Linked DNA regions of Nothobranchius furzeri. Each later gene encodes a partner of the first gene's protein in a complex. Links are inferred from orthologs where the notes say so. Each region holds a gene or a part of one and is shown in the gene's direction. Other genes may lie near its edges. The genes, in order: poglut1, notch1a and f7l.

The links.
Region 2: the proteins of poglut1 (region 1) and notch1a are in contact, whole or in part, in a crystal structure (PDB 5UB5), measured with the Homo sapiens proteins. The link is inferred for Nothobranchius furzeri from reciprocal best matches to the Homo sapiens genes POGLUT1 and NOTCH1. Residues at the interface, in NP_689518.1 of Homo sapiens: Met103, Phe104, Pro105, Ser106, Arg107, Asp133, Gly170, Pro171, Ala172, Val173, Trp174, Pro178, Thr179, Gly180, Thr214, Asn239, Gln240, Ala241, Val274; in NP_060087.3 of Homo sapiens: Asn454, Glu455, Cys456, Val457, Asn459, Pro460, Cys461, Gln462, Asn463, Asp464, Ala465, Cys467, Gly472, Glu473, Phe474, Val485, His486.
Region 3: the proteins of poglut1 (region 1) and f7l are in contact, whole or in part, in a crystal structure (PDB 5L0S), measured with the Homo sapiens proteins. The link is inferred for Nothobranchius furzeri from reciprocal best matches to the Homo sapiens genes POGLUT1 and F7. Residues at the interface, in NP_689518.1 of Homo sapiens: Met103, Phe104, Pro105, Ser106, Arg107, Arg132, Asp133, Pro171, Ala172, Trp174, Pro178, Thr179, Thr214, Asn239, Gln240, Ala241, Val274; in NP_000122.1 of Homo sapiens: Asp108, Gln109, Cys110, Ala111, Ser112, Ser113, Pro114, Cys115, Gln116, Asn117, Gly118, Gly119, Cys121, Gln126, Ser127, Tyr128, Arg139, Asn140.

Annotation. Positions count from the first base shown.
Region 1 is NC_091754.1:55,565,032-55,568,784, reverse strand, and holds the start of poglut1 (protein O-glucosyltransferase 1), read left to right. Parts: upstream 1-1,020; 5' UTR 1,021-1,072; coding exon 1,073-1,145; intron 1,146-3,444; coding exon 3,445-3,535; intron 3,536-3,624; coding exon 3,625-3,753. UniProt on the Homo sapiens protein: Dual specificity glycosyltransferase that catalyzes the transfer of glucose and xylose from UDP-glucose and UDP-xylose, respectively, to a serine residue found in the consensus sequence of C-X-S-X-P-C.
Region 2 is NC_091746.1:60,826,891-60,830,543, forward strand, and holds part of notch1a (neurogenic locus notch homolog protein 1), read left to right. Parts: intron 1-18; coding exon 19-132; intron 133-719; coding exon 720-839; intron 840-932; coding exon 933-1,085; intron 1,086-1,168; coding exon 1,169-1,397; intron 1,398-1,491; coding exon 1,492-1,693; intron 1,694-2,148; coding exon 2,149-2,302; intron 2,303-2,414; coding exon 2,415-2,599; intron 2,600-2,689; coding exon 2,690-2,822; intron 2,823-2,924; coding exon 2,925-3,182; intron 3,183-3,269; coding exon 3,270-3,382; intron 3,383-3,481; coding exon 3,482-3,653. UniProt on the Homo sapiens protein: Functions as a receptor for membrane-bound ligands Jagged-1 (JAG1), Jagged-2 (JAG2) and Delta-1 (DLL1) to regulate cell-fate determination.
Region 3 is NC_091743.1:82,200,247-82,203,999, forward strand, and holds the start of f7l (coagulation factor VII), read left to right. Parts: upstream 1-1,065; 5' UTR 1,066-1,279; coding exon 1,280-1,367; intron 1,368-3,753. Other genes in the region: uncharacterized protein, read left to right, coding at 635-780. UniProt on the Homo sapiens protein: Initiates the extrinsic pathway of blood coagulation. Serine protease that circulates in the blood in a zymogen form. Factor VII is converted to factor VIIa by factor Xa, factor XIIa, factor IXa, or thrombin by minor proteolysis.

The DNA of each region.
Region 1 (3,753 bases):
TAGAAGAATATTCATTCAGCAGACGTTCCAAATCGAGAAATTAAAAAATGTCACTGTTTATAAAGATGATGTTGCTATGGGGAGATGTAGTTACAAATATTACCTTTTGAAAAAAATGCATGCCTGTGATTTCCATGCATTTCCTATATATATATATATATATATATATATATATATATATATATATATATAGGAAATGCATGGAAATCACAGGCAAATGCATGGAAATCACAGGCATATATATATATATATATATATATATGGCTGTGCAGTGGTTAGAGCTGTTGCCTTGCAGCAAATAGGTCCTGGGTTTGCTTTTGCATGGTCTCCCTGTGCATACGTGGGTTCTCTCCGGGTCCTCCGGCTTCCTCCCACAGTCCAAAAACATGACTGTTAGGTTGATTGGTCTGTCTAAATTGTCTTTAGGTGTGAGTGTGTGTGTGCGTGATTGTTTATCCTGAGTGTCTCTGTGCTGCCCTGCGATGGACTGGCTCTCTGTCCAGGGTGTACCCCGCCTGATTGCCCATCAGTCCCCCCCCCCCCCCCCCCCACACACACACATAATAGTGATGTTATTAATGGTGGTGATAGTGATTAACATTTTCTTCCAACGTCCACATACTTTTCTTTCTTTTATAATTTAGCTATTCTGATGTAGCTTTAGTTTATCACACATTATTGTCAAATAAGGTAAATTTGTCTATTTGTAAATATTTTTCACATATACATTGTACTTTATACAGTTTGCATTCGTTTTCTTTTTATATACCGCTGCTGTTACACCTACGTTGTTGCACTGAAGGACATTACATAAATTTTCTGTTCAAATTTTCTTGCTTCAGTAAGATAAAATGACTGAAGTAATGCTTAGTGACTCAAGAATAAATTGATATTTTAGTACACGTTTTCTTTTTTAAGCCAAAAACAGAGAATAAAACTTGCCCTCTTGTAAGCGCCCCGTGATAAAATGGTCCTTTTGGTGCGCATTACCGTAATAACCAAATTCAGACAGAATTAACAGATAACCGATCGCTGCTTTGTTCTCAGACAAAGTTAAAGGATAAAGGCAAACATGGAGCGTAGCTGTTTGTGGAGTTCTTTATTATTTCTGCAAGTTTGTTGTTTCACTTCGGTCGGTGTATCAGGTACTAATTTAGCTTTAAAGATCTTGGTTTTAAAATACCTTAAATGCAAGCATTACATTTTGTTTGGACTCTTCGAGGTAACTCGATAGAAATGAATCAGTTAGCAGCTAGCTGCTGTAAGCTAACCCCTTTAAAGTGACCACGTTTGGTAAAGTTAGCGGCTAAATTACATTAATGTGGTGTTTTCCCCTAAAGACTGAGAGAGAATTACAAATGCGTCTGATAACTAATAAAAACCAATGCCGTGCCAGTGTCTGACCGCTTCAGATATGTACTTACTGTATTGAAACGAGCATTTGTGGGCTAAAGTTTACTCAGTTTGATTCATTTGTTTTCCACAACTCATAAAACGAACAACTAGACATCTGCTGAGATAAATCTAGTTTATACAGATAGTTTGAGGAAGCTGAAATATAGATTGTACTAGTTTCAGATTTTGTCACCCATTATAAATTGAGATACTCATGTTTTTATTTTATATTTGGGCATAAAACTTAATTTTGGGAACTTTACTTATTTTACTTATTTTTACAATTAAATCTATGAAAAACCAAATGCTGGCAGGGATAAAGATTTTTGATCAAAGTGGTTATCGTCAAGCTAAACTCTTTGGATGTTTTTAGGTGTTGCAACAAAATGTGTGAGACCATCTTCAGTTAGCTAAAGGCCACCAGACCATCTCCAGTTAGCTAAGACCATCTCCAGTTAGCTAAAGGCTAGAAGACCATCTCCAGTTAGCTAAAGGCTAAAAGACCATCTCTAGTTAGCTAAAGGCTAGAAGACCATCTCCAGTTAGCTAAAGGCTAGAAGACCATCTCCAGTTAGCTAAAGGCTAGAAGACCATCTCCAATTAGCTAAAGGCTAAAAGACCATCTCCAGTTAGCTAAAGGCTAAAAGACCATCTCCAGTTAGCTAAAGGCTAGAAGACCATCTCCAGTTAGCTAAAGGCTAAAAGACCATCTCCAGTTAGCTAAAGGCCAGAAGACCATCTTCAGTTAGCTAAAGGCAACCAGACCATCTCCAGTTAGCTAAGACCATCTCCAGTTAGCTAAAGGCTAGAAGACCATCTCCAGTTAGCTAAAGGCTAGAAGACCATCTCCAGTTAGCTAAAGGCTAAAAGACCATCTCCAGTTAGCTAAAGGCTAGAAGACCATCTCCAGTTAGCTAAAGGCTAGAAGATCATCTCCAGTTAGCTAAAGGCTAGAAGACCATCTCCAGTTAGCTAAAGGCTAGAAGACCATCTCCAGTTAGCTAAAGGCTAGAAGACCATCTCTAGTTAGCTAAAGGCTTGAAGACCATCTCCAGTTAGCTAAAGGCTAGAAGACCATCTCCAGTTAGCTAAAGGCTAGAAGACCATCTCCAGTTAGCTAAAGGCTAAAAGACCATCTCCAGTTAGCTAAAGGCTAAAAGGCCATCTCCAGTTAGCTAAACGCTAAAAGACCATCTCTAGTTAGCTAAAGGCTTGAAGACCATCTCCAGTTAGCTAAAGACTAGAAGACCATCTCCAGTTAGCTAAAGGCTAGAAGACCATCTTCAGTTAGCTAAAGGCTAGAAGACCATCTCCAGTTAGCTAAAGGCTAGAAGACCATCTCTAGTTAGCTAAAGGCTAAAAGACCATCTTCAGTTAGCTAAAGGCTAAAAGACCATCTCCAGTTAGCTAAATGCTAAAAGACCATCTTCAGTTAGCTATAGGCTAAAAGACCATCTTCAGTTAGCTATAGGCTAAAAGACCATCTTCAGTTAGCTAAAGGCTAAAAGACCATCTTCAGTTAGCTAAAGGCTAGAAGACCATCTCCAGTTAGCTAAAGGCTAAAAGACCATCTCTAGTTAGCTAAAGGCTAGAAGACCATCTCCAGTTAGCTAAAGGCTAGAAGACCATCTCCAGTTTGCTAAAGGCTAGAAGACCATCTCCAGTTAGCTAAAGGCTAGAAGATCATCTCCAGTTAGCTAAAAGCTAGAAGACCATCTCCAGTTAGCTAAAGGCTAGAAGACCATCTCCAGTTAGCTAAAGGCTAGAAGACCATCTCTAGTTAGCTAAAGGCTAGAAGACCATCTCTAGTTAGCTAAAGGCTAAAAGACCATCTTCAGTTAGCTAAAGGCTAAAAGACCATCTCCAGTTAGCTAAAGGCTAAAAGACCATCTCTAGTTAGCTAAAGGCTAAAAGACCATCTGCCGTTAAAACCAAGCATACGTTTTTCATCGCGATTTCTCCCACGTTTTATTTCATGTGTTTGTTTTAGAGACGACTACAGAGTTGTGCTGCATGCTCTTTAGGGTTCATTATCTTGTGTTTTTGCAGAAAATCAGTGGAAGAAAATTAGACGAACAATTTCAGAAGCTGTGAAAGAGTTCACTCCATGTAGTCCCGTCAACTGTAGCTGTCATAGTAGGTGAGTGATCAGTCTTCCTCGTCATTTTACCGTCAGAAAATTCACATTTATGCTTTTTACTTATGTTTTGTTTGAATTTTCCACCTCAGTGTCTTAGAACGTGACCTGGAGCCTTTTAAAGGAGGAGTCTCTGAAGATCTGATGGCAGCTACGATTCAGAGGGGGGTGGGGACCCACTACCAGATCATCGGACACAAGCTGTTCAGAGACAGTAACTG
Region 2 (3,653 bases), on another chromosome or scaffold:
CTAATCCCATCACTGCAGGGCCTAACTGCCAAACTAACATCAATGAGTGTGCATCCAATCCTTGCCTCAATCAGGGAACCTGCATTGATGATGTGGCTGGATACAAATGCAACTGTCAGCTGCCTTACACTGGTATGACATAGAGAGGCTATCTCTCTTGGAAAGTGTCAGACTTCCTATATTCTTGAAGGCTGTTTGTTGCCGTCTCAGCTGTTTGTGCAGGTCTGAAAACGTAAAGATAGTACTCCAACATCCGACCAACGGGTTTATCCTATCACACAATGTGTTGTCTGAGAAAACACCAGATGATTGCTAACTGCAGGGATGCCTTGTTGACATCTCAGTGTGGAAAGATGTGCTTGTCTGTTTTCCAGGGATAACATAGTATGTGTGGTTTGCAATAACATGCCACAGCAGTTGATATGAGAAGCACACTCAAGTCCAAGCTTTAGCCCCACTTCCGTTGTGTGCTGTTTCCTGTCTAAAATCACACAATGGCAGGAAACAGGAAGGCCCTTCCTGTTTGGCTAAGTCATCATGGAAATGGATAAGGAAGTGGAATGGAAAAGGGAATTTGAAAAGTGATGCTACTTTCAAAAATGAACTGTTTACCTGAACATGTACTATGAGTAACCATTATTGTTTTTTTTTTTAAACAAGCAACTGCTGTAGAAATGAGCAACAACCAGTGCTAAATCCGATGTTTGATGTGTTACCAGGTGAAAACTGTGAGACCCTGCTGGCCCCCTGCAGCCCTCGACCATGTAAAAATGGTGGCATATGTAAAGAGGCAGAAGACTACCAGAGCTTCTCCTGCATCTGCCCTGAAGGTTGGCAAGGTATGCATCTACTCACGTTTGTGTAAGTCAGTTGATCGTTCAAACAACTGGATTTTACAATGTTTCTTCAATCACTGTTTTCCCAAACTACAGGTCAAACTTGTGAAATCGATATCAATGAATGCGTGAAACATCCGTGCCGTAACAGTGCTCTGTGCCTTAACACTATGGGCGGCTACCAGTGCAAGTGCAAGCCGGGTTACAGTGGCAAAAAGTGTGAGACAGACATAGATGACTGCAAACCGAGTAAGTCAGTTATCTGCAGAACTGCAAGTTCCAGTCTTGTGAAACACTACAACAAACTGCAACCTTACTTTTCTCTATTTTAGATCCATGCAGTAATGGGGGACTGTGTCATGATGGCATCAACAGTTTCATGTGTACTTGTCTGCCTGGGTTTCACGGCAGCCGGTGTGAGCAGGACATAAATGAATGTGAGAGCAACCCTTGTAAGAATGGGGCCAACTGCACTGACTGTGTCAACAGCTACACCTGCACCTGCCCACCAGGCTTTAGTGGTATCAACTGTGAGATCAACACCAACGACTGTACTGACAGGTAGTTTTACTTAACATACACACTTATAAGATGAGGTATGCAAAACTGAGTGCTAGAATCTTTAGAATAGATTTAATTTCATTTTATTTTACAGCTCTTGTTTCAATGGTGGCACCTGCATGGATGGAATCAACACATTCACCTGCCTGTGTCTAACCGGATTCACCGGCAGCTACTGTCAGTATGACATCAACGAGTGTGACTCCAAGCCGTGTCTCAATGGCGGAACCTGTCTTGACAGTTATGGGACATACAAGTGCACCTGTCCTCATGGCTACACTGGAGTCAACTGTCAGGTAGGAGCTTTATTTAATCACAGACTCTGACACATTCATATTCTTGCTTAAAGAGCAATGCCCCCCCAAATCAAAAATTTTTTGCTGATAAATTATATAAACAAGCGTCTAATCATGCAGTAGACACGTGTAGTCAATAATTTGTCACTTTAGTGCATCTTAGTTAAAATGTCAATATTCTGCCAGTATTGCACCCTCTTCAGGTAAGAACTCTGCACTGCATTGAATTTAAATCTGCCATTGCTATTTGCTAAGAGGTATACAATGACGTTAGCTGGTACACTATTATGTCACAAAGTTGTTCTGAGCCTGTGTGCGTGTGTATTTGTTAGCGGCTCCACCCTCCACTCTTTGCATTTTTCAAACAGGAAGTAGGAGTGGAGTAAGACTCTGGTAAGGGGTGGTTTGCTTTTTAATTTCGCAGTTATGATTGATCCGTTTGGTTCCTTTTTTAGAATCTTGTGCGCTGGTGCGACTCTTCACCTTGTAAAAATGGAGGCTCCTGCTGGCAGCAGGGAGCATCCTACACCTGCCAGTGTCAGACTGGGTGGACTGGCCTGTACTGTGACATCCCAAGTGTGTCTTGTGAGGTTGCAGCCAAACAACAAGGTAGAACAATTCACTTCATGCGTTTTAGCTTGTACGTTTGACTTGATTGGATCTAAGTCTGGTGTGTGTGTGACTGATGCATTCTGCAAACCATTTTCCGTTTTGATTACAGGTGTGGAAGTGTCTCAGTTGTGCAGGAATTCTGGCCAATGTCTGGATGCTGGGAACACACATTACTGTCGCTGCCAGGCTGGTTACACGGGGAGTTACTGCCAGGAGCAGGTGGATGAGTGCTCACCAAATCCATGCCAGAATGGAGCAACCTGCACCGATTATCTGGGAGGTTACAGCTGTGAGGTAAATTAAATATGACTGATCAAAATCACCTCATAACTTAAGGGGGAACATTTTAAATAATTAATTATTCTTAACTTTCTCTTTTGTCAGTGTGTTCCTGGTTATCATGGGAGAAACTGTTCCAAAGACATTAATGAATGTCAGTCTCAACCCTGCCAGAATGGAGGCACCTGCATAGATCTCATCAACACATACAAATGTTCCTGTCCCAGAGGGACACAAGGTATATACTGTATATGCATGCCCAATATAATCAAATAACAACCTACATGTGACCATAATTGATGAAAAACATGTTCTGATCCAATGTGTCTGCTTTCTGTAGGTGTTCACTGTGAAATTAACTTGGATGACTGCAACCCCCCTATCGACCCCTTTACCAAAGAGCCCAAGTGCTTCAATAATGGCAAATGTGTGGACCGCATTGGAGGCTACCAGTGTGTGTGCCCACCAGGTTATGTTGGTGAACGCTGCGAGGGCGATGTCAATGAATGCTTGTCAGACCCTTGTGACCCTAGAGGGTCCTACAACTGCATCCAGCTCACCAACAGCTATCGGTGCGAATGCAGAACTGGATATACAGGTACTGCTTTGTTTCTAGCAACACATTACTCAAGGAATAAAATAGATGTATGAAAAAGAACCTGGCACAATTTTTTCTGTTTTACAGGTCAGCGTTGTGACAAAGTGTTTGATGGCTGCAAGGGAAGACCCTGCAGGAATGGAGGGACTTGCGCTGTTGCCAGTAATACGCCTCATGGTTTTATCTGCAGATGTCCACCTGTAAGTTCTCTTAAAACATCTTCTTATACAAATGCCCCTTTCAATTCTGATGTTTTATTTTATAATAACAGCAAACTAATTCTGTTTGTGTTCCTTCAGGGCTTCACTGGCTCTTCTTGCGAGTATGATTCTCGGTCCTGTGGGAGTCTGAATTGCAAGAATGGTGGAACATGCGTATCAGGCCACCTTGGTCCACGCTGTCTGTGCCCTTCAACATTCACAGGGCCAGAGTGTCTAACCCCCACCGACAGCCTCTGCATCTCTAACCCCT
Region 3 (3,753 bases), on another chromosome or scaffold:
GTTTAAATTTGAGCACATTTTCCGTCTGATGGGAGGCGAGTTAAGCTCAGAGTCTGCATGGCGCAGTGGTTAGCCCTGTTGCCTCGCAGCACGAAGGTTGCAGGTCCGAAACTCAGCTGCGGCCTTTCTGCGTGGAGTTGCGTGCAACAAAATAAAGACAAATAAATACCTCGTTGGCTGTTTTGCTTAAAACACAAAGGGAATCCATCTGTCTTCCTTTAAGTCCTTTCATTATTTATTCCTTCGGCAATGCATTGAATCTGTCCATTCTCAGCTAGCTGCTTGTAAGCACTTCATCCAGGTTCTGTGTGTTCCTCACACCTGGCTTGTATTCATCAATTAAGGGTGTGGCTGTCAGCAGCTCATGTAGCTTTTCAAAATAAAATTACAGGAAGCACAACCAACCCAGTGTCTTACAAATGGGAAAAATAAATAAATGAAGATATAAACAGCAACAGCAGTTACACCATGCATGTGTGGGTTTCCTCCGAGTACTCCGGTTTCCCCCACAGATCACAACATGCCCTATAGGTTATAGATTGTAAGTCGCTTTGGATAAAAGCGTCTGCCAAATAAATAAACATAAACATAGAGTCTCTTCTTCCAGGTTCAGACTTTTTGTGTTTGTGTTCAGGTGAGAACTGCAACCGCGGGGCAGCGCTCGGGGCCCTTCTGGGGGCTGGGGCCGCCCATGCCGGATTGGGCGTACCTCCAGAGTGGAAGGACAAACTCAGAGATGCCCAGGAGTTCCTCCCCAACATCTTGAAGGAGGTGCACTGAGAGCCGCCCTGCCCTCTGGAGGACAGGAGGAGAACTTTCAGAAGAGCATTAAAATCTACTTCCTCTTTACGGGTGCCTCATCTCTCCTAAAATTAGAACATGATTTTTATTAATGATGAATTTATTTTCTGCACTTCTCACTTTGTAAATGAATAAGAATCAGAAAACCTTTCAATGAAATATTATTCAATGTTTTTCTTATATATTACATTATTCTTATTATTGTCAGGCTGTGCTGTTTTTCGTTAAAGCTTTGAAATAAAATATTCACATGCTCAGACCAAAGTAATAACTCGTCTTTTGTGTGTTTATTATTTATGAGTTTGTGAGTTACTGTAGATGACCAGAACATTTCAACCAGATGTTTATTATCAGAATTGTTGAACACAAATAAACGAGTGTCTTTTAACCTGAAACAGGAAGTCAAACGTGTGGAGAATGCAAGTGTTTTTGTGTGTTTGTTTTTCACTACGTGACCTTTGGTCGGGCCACAACAATCATGGCGTTCATCAGCAAAAAGACGAGTCGTGTCTTCTTCCTACTGCTCATCACTGCTTCTCTCCCATCATGCACTGGGACTCAAGGAGGTCAGTTTGTTCCTTCAACTCTTCTTCTTCACCTCAGGGATCCGTTCCCATCAGGACTCCATCAGAGGAGTGCAGACCACAAGCAGATTACACAATCTGATGGCTTAAACTTTTCCTGTTTTATTAGTTTGTTCTATAATATTTATTTCTCTAACTGATTTTAGTGAGCAGGACTTTATGAAATTGTATTAAATATAATATATTATAAAATCAGGATTGGTGTTAATATGTTTAAAAAATCTGTAAAAGTTAATTTTAATAAGATTTTTAAAAATTACGTTATAGAGAACATTTTTATTTAGATATGAGCTGGTCTGGATATGAGATGGTCTGGATATGAAAGGGTCTGGATATGAGATGTCTGGATATGAGATGGTTTGGATATGAGATGGTCTGGATATGAGATGTCTGGATATGAGATGGTTTGGATATGAGATGTCTGGATATGAGATGGTCTGGATATGAGATGGTTTGGATGTGAGATGTCTGGATATGAGATGTCTGGATATGAGATGGTTTGGATATGAGATGGTCTGGATATGAGATGGTTTGGATATGAGATGTCTGGATATGAGATGGTTTGGATATGAGATGTCTGGATATGAGATGGTTTGGATATGAGATGTCTGGATATGAGATGGTTTGGATATGAGATGTCTGGATATGAGATGGTTTGGATATGAGATGTCTGGATATGAGATGGTTTGGATATGAGATGTCTGGATATGAGATGGTTTGGATATGAGATGTCTGGATATGAGATGGTTTGGATATGAGATGTCTGGATATGAGATGGTCTGGATATGAGATGGTTTGGATATGAGATGTCTGGATATGAGATGGTTTGGATATGAGATGGTTTGGATATGAGATGTCTGGATATGAGATGTCTGGATATTAGATGGTTTGGATATGAGATGGTTTGGATATGAGATGTCTGGATATGAGATGGTCTGGATATGAGATGGTTTGGATATGAGATGTCTGGATATGAGATGTCTGGATATGAGATGGTTTGGATATGAGATGGTTTGGACATGAGATGTCTGGATATGAGATGGTTTGGATATGAGATGGTTTGGATATGAGATGTCTAGATATGAGATGGTTTGGATATGAGATGGTTTGGATATGAGATGGTTTGGATATGAGATGTCTGGATATGAGATGGTTTGGATATGAGATGGTTTGGATATGAGAGGTCTGGATATGAGATGGTTTGGATATGAGATGGTTTGGATATGAGATGTCTGGATATGAGATGTCTGGATATGAGATGGTTTGGATATGAGATGTCTGGATATGAGATGGTTTGGATATGAGATGTCTGGATATGAGATGTCTGGATATGAGATGTCTGGATATGAGATGTCTGGATATGAGATGGTCTGGATATGAGATGTCTGGATATGAGATGTCTGGATATGAGATGGTCTGGATATGAGATGTCTGGATATGAGATGTCTGGATATGAGATGGTCTGGATATGCGATGGTCTGGATATGAGATGTCTGGATATGAGATGTCTGGATATGAGATGGTCTGGATATGAGATGTCTGGATATGAGATGTCTGGATATGAGATGGTTTGGATATGAGATGGTCTGGATATGAGATGGTTTGGATTTGAGATGTCTGGATATGAAATGTCTGGATATGAGATGGTTTGGATTTGAGATGTCTGGATATGAGATGGTTTGGATATGAGATGGTTTGGATATGAGATGTCTGGATATGAGATGGTCTAGATATGAGATGGTTTGGATATGAGATTGTTTGGATATGAGATGTCTGGATATGAGATGGTCTAGATATGAGATGGTTTGGATATGAGATTGTTTGGATATGAGATGGTTTGGATATGAGATGTCTGGATATGAAATATCTGAATATGAGATGTCTGGATATGAAATGTCTGAATATGAGATGTCTGGATATGAGATGGTTTGGATATGAGATGGTCTGGATATGAGATGGTTTGGATTTGAGATGTCTGGATATGAGATGTCTGGATATGAGATGGTTTGGATTTGAGATGTCTGGATATGAGATGGTTTGGATATGAGATGGTTTGGATATGAGATGTCTGGATATGAGATGGTCTAGATATGAGATGGTTTGGATATGAGATTGTTTGGATATGAGATGTCTGGATATGAGATGGTTTGGATATGAGATGGTTTGGATATGAGATTGTTTGGATATGAGATGGTTTGGATATGAGATGTCTGGATATGAAATGTCTGAATATGAGATGTCTGGATATGAAATGTCTGAATATGAGATGTCTGGATATGAAATGTCTGAATATGAGATGTCTGAGATGTCTGAATATGAGATGTCTGGATATGAGATGTCTGAATATGAGATGGTCTGGATATGAGAT